2 linked regions of the Ovis aries genome follow. The protein of the gene in region 1 interacts with the protein of each later gene in a pairwise test. Links are inferred from orthologs where the notes say so. Each region holds a gene or a part of one and is shown in the gene's direction. Other genes may lie near its edges.

Region 1 (10,878 bases):
TTTTAGGCTTGGCAGTGATTTACATAAACATTGCCCATTTTTCCAAATAATTCAATTTCTTCCTTGTATGCAAGGCTAGGCTATTTTCATTTTTTTTCCTGGGATAGGAAAAGAAGAGAAAATTAAGGAACTACTGCCTTTGATGTGTCAGTGTTTTAACTGATCTCATTGAAACCTTTTATCATAACTTTGGGGTCGATATTATTTAATTCTGTTTTACAGAAGAGGAAAGAGGGAGGCTGGGGTTAAGTCACACCCAAGGTCACACAGCATCACCCAAGGTCACACAGCAATTTTACTGGCAGCACTGGGGCTGGAGCCAGGTTTCCTGACTTGAGCTACCTCATGGATATCACAGCCTTCACACTTAATGGGCTTTGCAGATGGCCCTTGCTGCTGTCTCCTCTGTCCTCTTCCTTCCAGTACAGACAGCCACTTCTCAGCTGCTCTTGTTCCAAGTGGCACAGAATGAGCTGTCCTTACCTATATCTCACCTTGTAATGCTGTGTCCTAATGTCACCCCAGAACCCCCTACATGGGGTCCTTCCTGTGGGAAGATGGGAAAGGCCTCGTGACAGGGCCTCTCCCCTCTCCGGGCCTCTCCCCCTTCCAGTCCTCTCTGCCACCTCCCTTTTCGTGGCGCGTTGTAGCATCCTTGAGGGCATATTGGGTCGGGCTCCTAGGGAACAGAAGGTGGACCAAATGTTCCAGGACTCACCTGGGAATGAAGCCAGTCCAGGTGGGGACTGACCCTGAAACAACCTGGGGCCCTTGGTGGCCCTCTTCCTCAAGGAGGCTCAGTGGGCCACCCCCAGTCCAGCCCTGTCCTTTGGGCCTTTGTTTCTCCCAGCATCCTGTGGTCTACCTGCTCTAGTCCTGCTCACTGGCCCAGATTTCACAACCTCAGAGCCAGACGTGACATCAGAATGTACATATCCAACTCTGCCTTTCTCTTTTTTTCTTATCAAATACACTTTTTAGGCTTTTTTTCTGGGTGGGGGGCGCTGTACTCTGTGGCTTGTGGGATCTTAGTTCCCCAACAAGGACTGAAGCCAAGCCCTAGGCAGTGAAGGTGGTAAGTCTCTTTTTTTCTTTTAGACTTTTTATTTTGAAATGATTTGAGGTTTCCAGTTGAGTCGCAGAGATACTACAGGAAGTTCCCAGTTAGCCTTCATCTAGCTTCCTCGCATGGTAACATCGTAAATAACCATGGTGGTGGTACTAAATTGCTTCAGTCGTGTCCACCTCTTTGCAACCCTATGAATGGTAGCCCGCCAGGCTCCTCTCTAGGCATAATACTGGGGTGGGTTGCCATGTCCTCCTCCAGGGGATCTTCCCAACCCAGGGATCGAACCCTTGTCTCTTAACATCTCCTACATTGGCAGGTGGGTTCTTTACCACTAGCACCACCTGGGAAGCCCATGTAACCAGGGTACAGTGATCAAAATATAAGAAACTGGTACTGATACAACTCTATTAACTAAGCAACAGACTTTATTGGGCTTTCACCAGTTTTGTTTGAGGATCCACTCATTTTCCTTACAGGTGGCCTTGAGGGTAGATGTGGCTCCCTCGAGGTCACTCGGGAAGCTAGTGGTAGGGCACAGGTTGAAGTCTGGCCTCCTCCTCCCAGTGCCCTGGGCTGCTGCCCTCCTCACCCTTCCTGCTTTGTCCAGGGCCAGGGCTGCTGCTCCTTTAAAGAACTCTAACTTTATAGACACCCTTCCCCCACCTTGCTTGCCTGGCCCGATTCTGAGGTTGCCTACACTGTCTTTCTGCACACGTGCTCACATGCACATGCTTGTCCACAGGCCCTGAAATGGCTGGTCCAAGCCTGGCTCCTGTGGGCGCTGGAAGCATTGCACCGCAGGGCCAACCAGTTCAGCCACTTCTGTTCACTGGGCTGCATGTGGCCACCCACACAAGCCAGTGCTCTAGCCTCTGTGGGAATGGAGGACGCAGAGCACATTTGATGGAGCCCTACCTTGGTTTCAGGTTCTAGAGGTTTCTATCTCAGCACCTCTCCCTCCCTCAGCTTTTCCAGTTCTGCCTTAGGGTCTCTCCTGTCTCCTGTCTCCATCTGGTGTGTGCCCTCTGACACCTGGAGACAGTCACTTTCTGTTGTCCTTCTCAGCATCTCGGAAGGCCTGGTAAAGAACCCTCCTGCCGATGCAGGAGACATAAGAGAGGTGGGTTCTACCCCTGGGTCAGGAAGATCCCCTGCTGGAGGACATGGCAACACACACACATTCCCCATTCTTATCTGGGGAATCCCATGGACAGAGGAGCCTGGCAGGCTATAGTCCATGGAGTCGCAAAAAGAGTCAGACATGACTGAAGTGGCTTAGCATGGTACAGCACAACCCCCTCTAGGGCCTTCCACCCATGGGGCCCTTCACTGTTTACAGCTGGTTTTCAAGTTTCTCTCATGTGCTTCCCATCACCGGGGTGATTAGGTCCACTCAACTGGCGAGGAACGCTTTGCCCAGTGATAATGGGGAGAGTGGAGCCGCGGTTTGCCACAGTCTTTGCTCTTCCAGGCAGTTAGGCTGTCTGGTGTTTATCTTAGGCCGCCTCTGAGGCTTTCAGAGCCCTGCCCAGACATGATCTCACTCTCTCTCAAATCATCCCTGGGAGGCAGAAGGGAGTCTGGGATGAATGCTGTCCCCATTTCACAGATGTGAAAATAAAGGTCTAAACACACACAGACATGCGTGTGTGCCTGGCAAATATGTGAAAAAGTTGCTTTGCAGTCCTGGGAGCCTGATTTCAGCCCTGTTAATTCAGTTGTTTGGAACGTTTGAGGTCTTGGTTGGGGTGGGGGCGGCAGCGTTCACAAGTGCCTCACATGATTGCAGCTCCCCCAGGGATAACCCACAGCTTAATCCAGTGCCCTGCCTCCAGAGACCTTGCAGTCAGTTTAGTATTTGAGAAGGGCCTAAGGAGGCTTATCTGGCGTGGCTGGAATTCCCCAGACTAAGGTCTAGTTCATGGTGGCCCTTAGGCACATTTCATAAGTGAGCCTTTGGTAGCCACAAAGGCTGTGGCCAGGAGAGCCCAGGCTGGAGCCTTGCTGGGCTGCTTGGTGGTGGTGACCCATGCTGGACAGTCCAAAGAGTTCCTCTCATGATGGCTCACCTTCACAGTAGTCCTGGGAAGGAAGAGCTGTTAGCAACTTATTGTAGAAAAAAACAGAGACATCACTTTGCCAACAAAGGTCCATATTGTCAAATCTATGGTTTTTCCAGTAGTCATGTATGGATGTGTTAGACCATAAAAAAAACTGAATGCCAAAGAACTGATGCTTTCAAATTGTGGTGTTGGAGGACTTCTGAAAGTCCCTTGGACAGCAAGAAGATGAAACCAGTCAATCTTAAAGGAAATCAACCCTGAACATTTATTGGAAGGACTGATGCTGAAGCTGAAACTCCAATACTTTGGCCACCTAATGTGAAGAGACAACTCACTGGAAAAGACCCTGATTCTAGGAAAGATTGAGGGCAGGAGGAGGGGACGACAGGATGAGATGGCTGGATGGCATCACCAACTCAATGGACATGAGTTTGAGCAAACTCTGGGAGATGGTAAAGGACAGGGAAGCCTAGCGTGCTGTAGTCCGTGTCTCACAAAGAGTTGGACATGACTTAGCAACTGAATGACAAGAAAGACAAGGAAACAGGCCCACAAAACAGACCCACAAACAAGTCCCTGACGCTATTAGGGCACAGGATCAACCAGGGAGCAATGGCTGGGCATCCAACTCCAAGTCCAATGCTTAGCTCCACCAAGCTACTGTCCCCCCAAAAAGGGGCATGACCAAAGCCAGGAGGAGGGAAAAGGGAGCCCTCACTGGGACTGAGCTCCTCAGTCCTGAGAAGAGGTTAAAGGAAGAAGGAAAGGTCAGGCTGGGGGAGAAGAAGGAGCTCCTGAAATCAACCCACACCTTGCTCTCAACAGACCAGAACCCCACCAACGCAGCGGTGGTGGAGCGTGGGGCAGGGGGCGAAAGGGGGGCGGAGGGGAGGCGGGGGGGCTGGGGGGGCGGGGGCGGTAATAACAAAGTTGAAGGAGCAGTACCCATCCCCTGAAGGGGAGAGGGCCCGGACCCTGCTTAGGAAATGCGCTGGACTGGAGGCCGGGACAAGGTTGATGACGGCTACGCGCACTGACGTCTGCTCCAAGTTCTGCCTCCCATGGCCAGGCACAGCTCGACCATCCCAGCTCTGCAATCTCCCTCCTCTGAGCGCCTGCAGCATCTCATGCCCAAATCAATTTTTTGAACCAATCCTGTAGCACTCGCCTTATAAGTCAGCTGGCTTTCCATTATTTGTCTACGTCCACCTTTCCAACTAGATCAGAATCTTCTCCAAGGCAGGAGCTCTTGTCCTCCCTGCCACGTGACAGCCAGTACTTTCTCAGTAGAGAAATAAGGTTATTTGGGAAGTGTCATTCAGGGCAATGCCGTGGTTTGTTTACAAGTGCTGGACACTGGGTCCACGCCGCGGGCCCGGTGACGTCTTCGGGTTTGTGATGTCACCGTCGCTGGCTGCTGCGCCGCTCCGCAGCCTGCGGGCAGGTGACGTCACCGTCGGAACCCGTGCAGACAAGTGCACGCCGGAGGAATTAGCGAGGCTGGCGGCCTGAGATGCCGGGAAAGAGGAGGAACCGATGCAACGGCAGATGCAGTGTGGCGTCCGCACCACCGGGGCTGGGCGCCTAGCCCCTTTATGGACTGGCTCCGCCCCCGCCGTGACCTTTGCGCGCCAGCCAATCCGAGCCGGCCGCGGTGACGCGCAGCCTATCAGCGTCCACAACACGCCGGGCGCTTCCGTGTTCGCGAGCGCACCCGACCCGAGTCCTCAGGGGGAGGGGGCGAGGCCGACGGGCCCCACCGTCACCCACGTACAACCCACCAGGCTCGGCCGATCTGCGGTTCCCGGCCCGCCGCCTCTCGGGGGACCTTATGGCTTCGGAAGGCCTGAGAGGGGCGCTGACGGCCGTGCTGGGGGGCCGGGGGCTGCTCGTGCAGAACTATGATTCGGGGCCGGCTGGGGAGCCGCCGGCGCCGGTGCGGCTGCGGAAGAATGTCTGCTACGTGGTGCTGGCCGTGTTCCTCAACGAGCAGGTGAGCGTCCGCCCGTCGGGCCCACCGCCCAGGTCTCTGGGGCTCGCAGCCAGCCCCGGTAGGGAACAAAGGACGTACCGGCAACAGCCACAGCTTCCTGGTGTGTGGCTCTTCCCAGTTTTGCAAAGCACTTTCACACTTAACATCTGAGCCTTGAGCAGCGCAGCCCTGCGATCCTCCCAACGTACAAGGGAGGAAACTGAGGTTCACGAGCCTGTTTAATCCCACCAGGCCTCAGTTCCTTGAGAGGAGGCTGTCTTACTCCTCTTCCATTTTCCCCAGAAGCTAGCGCGGTGCCCGCCATGGAGTGGGCTTAAAAACCTGTCCAGTGCTTCAGAGGCTTCCCCTCGGCCCCATGGGCAGTAAGTGGACAATTTTTCCTTACACCCAGGCCTCTGACCCCCTGTTTGATGCTCCGATTGGTGTTGATCCCTGTACATGGTGCGGTAACAACAGCTAGAACGGGTCAGAGCCATAGGTAGGAGTTGTTTGGCGTGAGGGTTTGGGGTGTGTTTCAAAGCCTAAGCAGGCCACACAGAGTTTGTAAACCGTGAGGGGAGGTGAGAGATATACTGTGACTTGTGCAGATGCTAATCAGTGCAGGACGCTGGGCAACCAATCCCTGGAGGCCTAATCTCCAGCCCCTGAAGTAGCTACCAGAATTCTTAACCCCTTTCTGAAATGGAAACCTGAATGCAGGGAAAGATGAACTGCAGAGACCGCTGCAGTCCCCATACCCAGGGCCAGTCCCCTGGAGAACTCAGCAATTTCAGGGTGGCCCCTGGGATGTGGGTACTGAGCGACTATATCTGAGATTGGAGCTGGACCCAGAGCAAGTGAAGGCTGCTGGCTCTGCTGCCCCCCCTGGAGCTCCCATCCCAGCTGTGGTGGGCGAGGACCCTCTCTCTCCCCCTCAGGATGAGGTGCTACTGGTCCAGGAGGCCAAGAAGGAGTGCCGTGGGTCGTGGTACCTTCCTGCGGGGCGGATGGAGCCTGGGGAGACCATTGTGGAGGCGCTGCAGCGGGAGGTGAAGGAGGAGGCCGGGCTGCAGTGTGAGCCTCTGACGTTGCTGTCTGTGGAGGAGCGGGGCCCCTCCTGGATCCGCTTCGCATTCCTCACCCGCCCCACAGGTATGGCCCAGCAGGTGGGCAGCGTGGGCTGAGGGCAGTAGATACCAGTCCCCTGGCTTGTCCTCAGGTGAGATGAGCCCCTAGTCTGGCTAGGATAACCCTGGCATCTCCAGATTCCAGACTGAACACCTGATCCTGGGCCTCCCCCCTGGGTCACAGCTGGAACCCTGGGTGGCCCTTTATTCTACCAGGCCCAGCACTTCATTCAACATAGACCTTTTCTCCCTCCCTGTGCCCTGGAGAAGGAAATGGCAACCCACTCCAGTATTCTTGTTTGGGAAATCCCATGGACAGAGGAGCCTGGTGGGCTACAGTCTGTGGGGTTGCAGAGTTGGACACAACTGAGCACATCCCCTGCATCTCCACCAGGTGGAATTCTCAAGACTCCCAAGGAAGCAGATGCAGAGTCCCTACAGGCTGGCTGGTACCCACGAACCTCACTGCCTACCCCACTGCGGGCCCAGGACATTCTTCATCTGGTCAACCTTGCTGCCCAGTATCGCCAGCGAGCCAGGCACCCTCTCCTCCTTCCCCAAGAGCTTCCCTGCAGTCTGGTCTGCCAGCGACTTGTGGCCACCTTCACCAGCTTCCAGACAGTGTGGGTGTTGGTGGGCACAGTGGGGACGCCTCACTTGCCTGTCACCGCCTGTGGCTTCGCTCCCATGGAGCAGAGGGGTGGCATCAAGATGGCCGTCCTGCGGCTGCTACAGGAGTGTCTGACCCTGCACCACTTGGCAGTAGAGACCAAGGGGTTGCTTGGACTGCAACACCTGGGCAAAGACCTAACGGATGGCATCTGCATGAACGTGCTGGTCACCGTGGCTTTTCGGAATCCGGGTCTCCAAAACGAGCCCCCAAAGGTTCGGGGTGAGAACTTCTTTTGGTGGAAGGTGGTGGAGGAAGACCTGCAAAACCAGCTTTTACAGCGGCTTCGGGACTCATCTGTCGTCCCAATCAACAGATAGGAGGTGGGCGTCAGTGGGCCGGAGCAAGGCATTCGTGCTTTGGAGGAAGTTTTTGCTTTGGAGCGGGGCAGGGGTGTGGCAGTCAGAGATCTTCTTGCATGAGGACCTGAGCAGTTCTCCTGGCTCCCAGGGGGACTGCCCTCTCTTGTCACCACGGAGCAGGTCCCTGCACAGCACCCAAAGGGACAATGCCTTCAGCTGAACAAGGAGTCCAGAGCTCGGGGACCCAGTTGCCCTGAAATTCCAATGAGGGCAGGACTCCCTAAGGGGACGTGAGGACCTTCGGGACCTGAGGTGGCATCTCCTCATTTTCTGTGCCCTTGCCAGATGCTAGGCACTTGGAACATGGAATGGGTGTGGGGGAGGTCATTCCAAGGGAGAGGGTCCCTGGCTGAGTAAATAAGTGTTACTGACTTTGCATTCCCACCTATATGTTTCTGTGGGTCGGACTTGAGCTGGAAGGGGGAACTGCTATCAAGAGAAGCTCCTCCCCTCATCCCATGGAAACCACACAGGCCTTCCCAGACAGCAGGTGACCGGCTGGCAGACTCCCTTTGTCCACCACAGCTTGACGCAGGCCTGCCGGGTGGGATGTGGGCACACACCCTCCAAGGTCTGAGCAGTGAGATGCCCAGAAGCTTCAGGTGGGCGAGGAGCTGTGAGAGCTGCCCGTCTCTTTTCTCCTGAGTTTCTCTGAGGGATCAGCGTCGCTCCGCCCCCAGGCTCATTCCTGCCTCTGCCCTGGTACAACTCCAGCCCAAAGCCAGACCAAAACCCTCTCTTCATTCCCCTTAGCTCAGCTGAATCATGGTAGAAATTATTATTTTTTTTTTAAAGAACTTTACTGAAGTTTAAGGGAAAACCAAAGGAAATGAAGAAATATGTACTGACTGCTATACACGCATCACTGGATGTACAGTTTTGGTTCTGAGCAGGGAAAATACTTGGCTGGGTTTCCCTCCTGAAGTAACTCCACTCTGACGCCCAAGGACCAGGACAACCTCAGAGGCCCCTGCCCTGCCTCTCTGGCTGCCATCTTGTTTTTCTGACCTCTGGAGCTGTGCTAGGAACCCACTTGTTCCCTCTAAAGACTTCTTCCAAATGAAGGAATCAAACCCTTTTATTCTGGATCCCTTCTCTTAGTGTCTGAGGGACCCACTGGTCTGTAAGCACACTGGACAGTGACCTTTACTTCCAGTATTTAGCCTATTATTAATAGTTTTCAACCCTTCCCTGGTGGCTCAGACAGTAGAGTCCACTTGCAATGCAGGAAACCTGGATTTGATCCCTGGGTCGGGAAGAGCTCTTGGAGAAGGGAATGGCAACCCACTCCAGTATTCTTGCCTGGAGAATCCCATGGACAGAGGAGCCTGGTGGGCTACAGTCCATCGGGTCAGAAAGAGTCGGACACGATTGAGCACCTAACTCTAGCACTTTCAACCCCAGGTACCCCCTAGAATCACCTGGAGAGCCTTAAAAGAGCAATTGTGGGTGTGCCCTTAGAGATCTGATTAACTGATGGAGGGTGGGACCAGGGCATCGGTATTTTTAAAAGCAGCCCAAGTGACTGGAACATGCCAGGAGGTGAAAGCCACTGATCAGCCCTCCCTCTTGCCTTGCCTGGAGGACTCTTGGTGACCTTCCTCCCCAGAGCATCTCCACGCACTCAGGGACTAGATTTTTTTAAATATGAGGCCCAGGACTTCCCTGGCATCCACACGCAATGCAGGGGGCACAGGTTTCATCCCTGGCCAGGGAACTAGATCCCACACACTGCACAGTGCTGCAAAAAATAAAAATCAGGCCCACTGTTCACCACTAAAGCAGTCATACCTTTCACAACACAAACCCTGCAAAGGAGACTTGTGCACGGATGCCCCAGGTGGCCCATTCCCTAGAGTGTCTCTGGAGCTGCCGGCTCTCAGCTGTAGGCAGGCCGAGCAGAAATAGAGCTCCCTGCCCAAGAGAGGCCGGTTTCCCGGTTCCTGGCAGGCGCTGGGGGAACATCACATTTGCGCTGCCAGAGCCTGCCCGTTTACCACCCGCCCCCACCACACAGACACTGCCCTCCCTCTGCTCCTGTGCTGGGAGAGGAACTGAATTCGTCTTCCTTAGGGAGGAAGATGTGCCTGAATGAGCAGTGGAGCCCTGGGCAAAAGGACACGGGGAGGACAGAGAAAAATGGGGCAGCCATGACCACGCAACCACACCATTTATTGCCATGCTGTCTGGGGAGACACTGTGCGAATGTTCAAGTGCATTGAGGAGGGGAGGGTCTGACTCCCGGACGCTTGAACGTTCTTTCTGAGTCGAAGAGTCCAGACCCAGTTCACCGCCTCGTTCCATGCTAACGCCCATGCGTGGGCACACGCAGGGACTTGCACGGTGTCCTCGGGAACAGCAGGTAAATCCTCCCCAGCTTGGAGGAACGCAGGAGAGGTAGAGGTCACTGAGTTTCCTCTGCTTTCATGTCACCTCCTGGCAACCTGTGGCCGGCTTCTAGAAGCGGCATGGGCAGGAAAAGGAAGCGAAAGGGGCTCTGGCCTGCTCCTCCTTGCCCAGGAGTTAAGCCAGCAACTGCAGTTTGCTGTGAGGTAATGCCTGGCGCCGCCTGTGTGTTCCTGCAGGTCGAGACAGATTTGGGCCGGGTGGGGTGGCAGCCCCAGCCGCAGAGGGCACGCTGGGAGAACGGCACCGCAAAGGACTGCCTGTGCCCCAGCCCCACCCTGCCAGGCCTTGGGGTCGAGAGGGGGTGGGGGAGGGACGAGGGGGCAGGCTGCGGGCCAGTGGGCACCCTGGCCTCACCTGGACCCGGACCTTCCGGCTCTGCTGGGAACAGTATTCTGTGGAGGACCCCAGCCGAATGCTTGGGGTGAGGCCTGGCCTCCCCGGGTCTCTGAGCCCCTCTGCCCAGGTGCTGTGGACCTGCCGAGACGGGTTCAGAAGGCGCCAGCGAGAAACCAGCTGGAGCTGGAGCCTGGCATCCAGCCCCCCGGCTTCCCAGGCCCTCTCCTGCCCTGGCTGCAGTTACTTCAAGCTTCTCATTAGCAGCTGCCCCCGCCTGGCTGTGGAACATGCTTTGGGCATTTGCCACGAGGCTGTTGGAATTTTGCAACAGTCTCTAGGAGGGTGAGCTGGAAGAGGGGCTCCCCCTGCCATCCATGGCCCCTTCCCCAAGTGTTAAACCGAGAAGGCAGGAGAAAAAACATCAAGTGTCAGCAGTATCTGTGGTACCTAGTGGGACAGAGATAGGGCCGTGCCCCCATCTCTCTGGCCTAGGGGCATGACCAGCCTCAGAGCCACTGACTTACTCCCCATTGTGCCCCTATAATTGAGTCTCAGGTCTTGGCTCTGGCCATAGAAGACCCATGGACACAGGTGACAGGCACAGAGCAAAGGAGGCTCTGGCTCGGGGGGACCTGGCTGTCACCCAACTCCCCAGAGAGGGCCCCAAGGACACCATGCTGCCCAGGAAGCCACCGCCTTGGCTCCTTGGTTCCTGGTACCTCAGAGACCCACTCCTTGAAATCCAGTCTGGTGCAGCCAACGGGCCAAGGTGGTCTTGAGTCAACCCAAGAGTGGAAGGCCAGACCTCCACACAGGTGGAAGTCCCTGGGATATAGAGGAGATGGAGCCAAGGCCAGGCCCCCGCTCCAG
Region 2 (3,600 bases), on another chromosome or scaffold:
CAAAATGTAGATTAGACAGAGTGTAGACTGAGGCGGAGACAAATGACAGGGGCAGGGAGTGTGGCCTGATGTCGTTCACTGCTCCCCAAACCAGAAGGAACCTCCTACCTACTATTTAGAAGACTGAGATCTCAGACCTCAGTAGGTCCTGACATGGCCCATCTTGAGTCCCAGGCTTCCCGTTCCCATTTCTGTCTCTTTCCATTTTCAGCTCCATTCTGAGCTGACGATGTCACCCTATCTTCTGTGAAAGGGTCCTTCTTCCCTGCCCCAGCCCCTCCAGGACCCTTCCCTGCATCTTGGGGTGTAAGCGTGTCCTTTTTGCTAAGTCTTGCCCCCTATCAGTAACTCCCCAGCCTGAATGATCCTTCCACCCTTCCCTTCCCTTCCCTGTTAATCATCTTGGGCCCGCCATTCATTCATTTATCAAACATTTTATAAGCAGTCCTATGTGCCAGGCCCCTACTCAGCAATGCTGAGGACCACGGAAGGAAACCTGACCTAGGCCCTGCATCACTCCCACCCTGCCCCCGTGGGTCTAAGAGGTGTTGGGGGCGTGGGAGTCATGTAAGCAGTGATAACGGCATGCTCACAGTTTGATGGAGGAACATTAGACACTTAAGAGAAGATATTTAACCTGGCCTAGACTAGCGGAGGGCCTGAGTCCCCGGTGTGACACCCCAATCCCCCAAAGCCCCGCCCCCAACACAAATAGGGCAGTGTGAAGATGCTGTCCCTCAGCCGCAGGGACTTCTGATAACGCCCCTTCTCAGATCCAACCCTTTAGCCTCTACCTGCTCAGCCCCTGTCCCAGGGCTGATCTAGGCCACGCCCCTCTCAGCCCCTCCCCTATTTCATTCACGCCCGAAGTCCCACCGCCCGGGAGGGCAACTGCACAACAATATCGCAATCTCATTGGCCAGAAAGCGTTACTTCACCGCCCTCCTTCAGTGTCATTGGCTCGCTAGATGTCAATTTTCTTTATAGCGGCCCAACAGTTGCCATGGCCGAGGTTTGAGGGACAGATAATAATAGACGTCCCAGGACGTCTCATTACTGGGCAAAAAGCCCGGCTCTGGGCGGGGCTTAGCGCCAAACGCTCGCCTGCCTCTGTCTGCGGTTCCTCAGGGACGCAGTCTTTCCTCAGAGACACACCCCTCTCTCCTCGCTATTGGTCATGCCAAATGTTGATCAACAGGGCGCCACATTTCGATAGGCAAAACTATCCGTCCTTCACTGCTTCCCTAACTTCAATTCGCTTCTCTCCTTAAAGGCGGCAACCTTCTGGCCGTAGCCAGGGCCCGCCTTACGATATGACCAAGGATTGGCCAAACACGCCATCACTCCTTGACAGTGGGCGGAGCCAGAGCGGCTGGGGGCGGTGAATTGGCTGACTGGGCCTCGGGGGCGGGGCAGCGGCTCCTGTCAGCGGGTGAAATGGCAGCGGCGGAGCCGGCGGCGACCGCGGTCCCGGGGGGCGGCTGAGGGGGCCGGGCCGGGCCGGGGCTGCGGGGCGAGCGACACGGCGGGGATCCGGCGGCGCGGCCCGGGACGGCGAGACTTGACATGGCGATGGCGCGCTCTTCACAGGTAGGTAGGCGGCACGGGCCGGGCCTCCCGGGCGCCTTCTCAGGCCCGCGGCTCCGCGTTGCGGCCCACGGGGGCCGGGCAAGACCGGGACTCCGGGCCCCTTGCCCCGGAACCCGCCCCGGGAGCCCTCGGCACTCCCAGCACGGACACTGGCCGTCAGCCTCGGGCCCTGGCCCCTGCACATCCTCGTTCCTGGAGCTTCCCGACCCCTCTGGGCCCCTCCCAGGACCCTTCCAGGTGCCCTCCTCCCCCACACAGCGCCCTTCCCGGGAGCCCCCCTCAGGCCCGTGACCCCCGCTTACCCTCTTTACTGATCCTCAGGACCCCTTTCCAGGCCCTTCAGGGCTCCCCCAGTCACCACCCCACAGACCCGCCCCCTGCAAATGCCCCCTACCCCGCCGCAAGCCCAGGACCCCCGCCCTCCCTCTCTCCGGATCCCCCAAGACTCCTTTCATCTGTAGACCCCTGGTCACGCCGTCCCTCTTCTCACTTCATATCCCATCCCTGGGCCCAGACCTGCCCCCACCCCCAAAGATACCAGCCTTAGAGCCATACCCCTCCAGTCTGACCCCTCCTCAGCCTCTGTAAATCTGGATTCCTGCCCACAAGCCTCACCTCAGCCTGCTGGCCCATCTCCCACTCCCAGAAGCCCCATGCCCAAGGGCACCCCTGAAAACCACTCCTGGGATCCTCCACACACACACCCCTGAACCTGATTCCCCTCAATCCCTGCTCCTGAAAATCCACCCTCACTTTGTGCTTGGAACAGCCCAACAGATAGTCTGAACCCCCCAACCAGGGACACCCACCCCTCTGAGGGCTCCACTCACTTGCACAGACACACACACACCTGAGAGCTAACAGAGCAAAAGCTATGAATCCTCAACAGCTCATACTGATATGAGTATGAGGGGCCCAGGGTGGGTGTGATAGACGGCCTGGACCCCTCATACACAGACATTCAGGAGCCCTTCACACAAACACACACACACAGAGTCTGACTCTTGGATCCCCAGCACACACAGAAACACTTAAGACCTCCAACACAGACCCAGGCAGTTGGGAACCCCCAACTTGCCTCCCATACACACACACACACACACACACACACACACCACACACTTGCCTCCCATACACACACACGTGCATGCATGTGTGCACACACACACACTTGTCTCCCACGCGCGCACACATGTGCATGCACACGCACACACACACTTGCCTCCCATACACACATGCGCATGCACACACACACACACAACTCCTCAGCACTTTAGCACTCCTCCTTGGAATTCACCTGCCCAAGTCCTCCTGGAAGCCGCCACCAGCTCCCAGCTCAGGCAGAGACTCCGATGTCAACTGCCTGCCCTGCCCCAGATGGCCAGCCTTTCCGTCCACACCAGCCTGCCTGAACCGGTACCCTCACCGTAGCCTTGCAGGTGGCAGAGTGACCCAGAATCTCCCAGCATCCCTGTGGACACCTGTCCCAGACCTCTTCCCATTCATCCATCTCTCCCCATTCATCCATCTCTCTCCCTTCAAAGGGAAGGATGCTCCCTCTTTCTCTCCCCTACACCAGTCTCCCCCAAAGACCCAGTGCCTTCCCCCTGATTGATGCCACCCGTGGCATAGGCTGGGGGTGCCGGCTGCCCCTGGCCCCAGTCCTGAAGTCTGACCAGACTGGTAGGACCAGCATCCTGACCCCATCACGCCTGCTGGCCTCAGATGGCAGCAGCTCCCCAGATGCCGCCCATGACTGGCCCGGGAGCTCCTTCCCCCATGGCCAGTGTGTCATGAGAAAATGAAACAGCTTCCACCCACCCTGGCATTTGGGACCCGGTGGGGCTGGGTTTGGGCCTGCCAGAAGCAGGCAGCTCTTTGTTAAGGAATATTTTCAGAAGGGAAAAATGTGCTGAAGAGGCTCGGGTGGAACACGAGTGAGGAATTGGCTTGGTTTTGGTTTTTATTTTTTTTTTCCCCACCTTGGCCTGACTGGGATGGAGCTGGGCG

What was found.
Region 2: the proteins of NUDT18 (region 1) and EVI5L interact in binary tests that used the Homo sapiens proteins (3 or more experiments, as listed by UniProt). The two-hybrid records come from large-scale screens. The link is inferred for Ovis aries from reciprocal best matches to the Homo sapiens genes NUDT18 and EVI5L.

What each region holds. Positions count from the first base shown.
Region 1 is NC_056055.1:43,495,164-43,506,041, forward strand, and holds NUDT18 (8-oxo-dGDP phosphatase NUDT18), read left to right. Parts: upstream 1-4,838; 5' UTR 4,839-4,963; coding exon 4,964-5,125; intron 5,126-6,042; coding exon 6,043-6,256; intron 6,257-6,625; coding exon 6,626-7,221; 3' UTR 7,222-7,634; downstream 7,635-10,878. UniProt on the Homo sapiens protein: Mediates the hydrolysis of oxidized nucleoside diphosphate derivatives. Hydrolyzes 8-oxo-7,8-dihydroguanine (8-oxo-Gua)-containing deoxyribo- and ribonucleoside diphosphates to the monophosphates. Hydrolyzes 8-oxo-dGDP and 8-oxo-GDP with the same efficiencies.
Region 2 is NC_056058.1:14,341,925-14,345,524, forward strand, and holds the start of EVI5L (EVI5-like protein), read left to right. Parts: upstream 1-1,424; 5' UTR 1,425-1,590; intron 1,591-3,600. UniProt on the Homo sapiens protein: Functions as a GTPase-activating protein (GAP) with a broad specificity.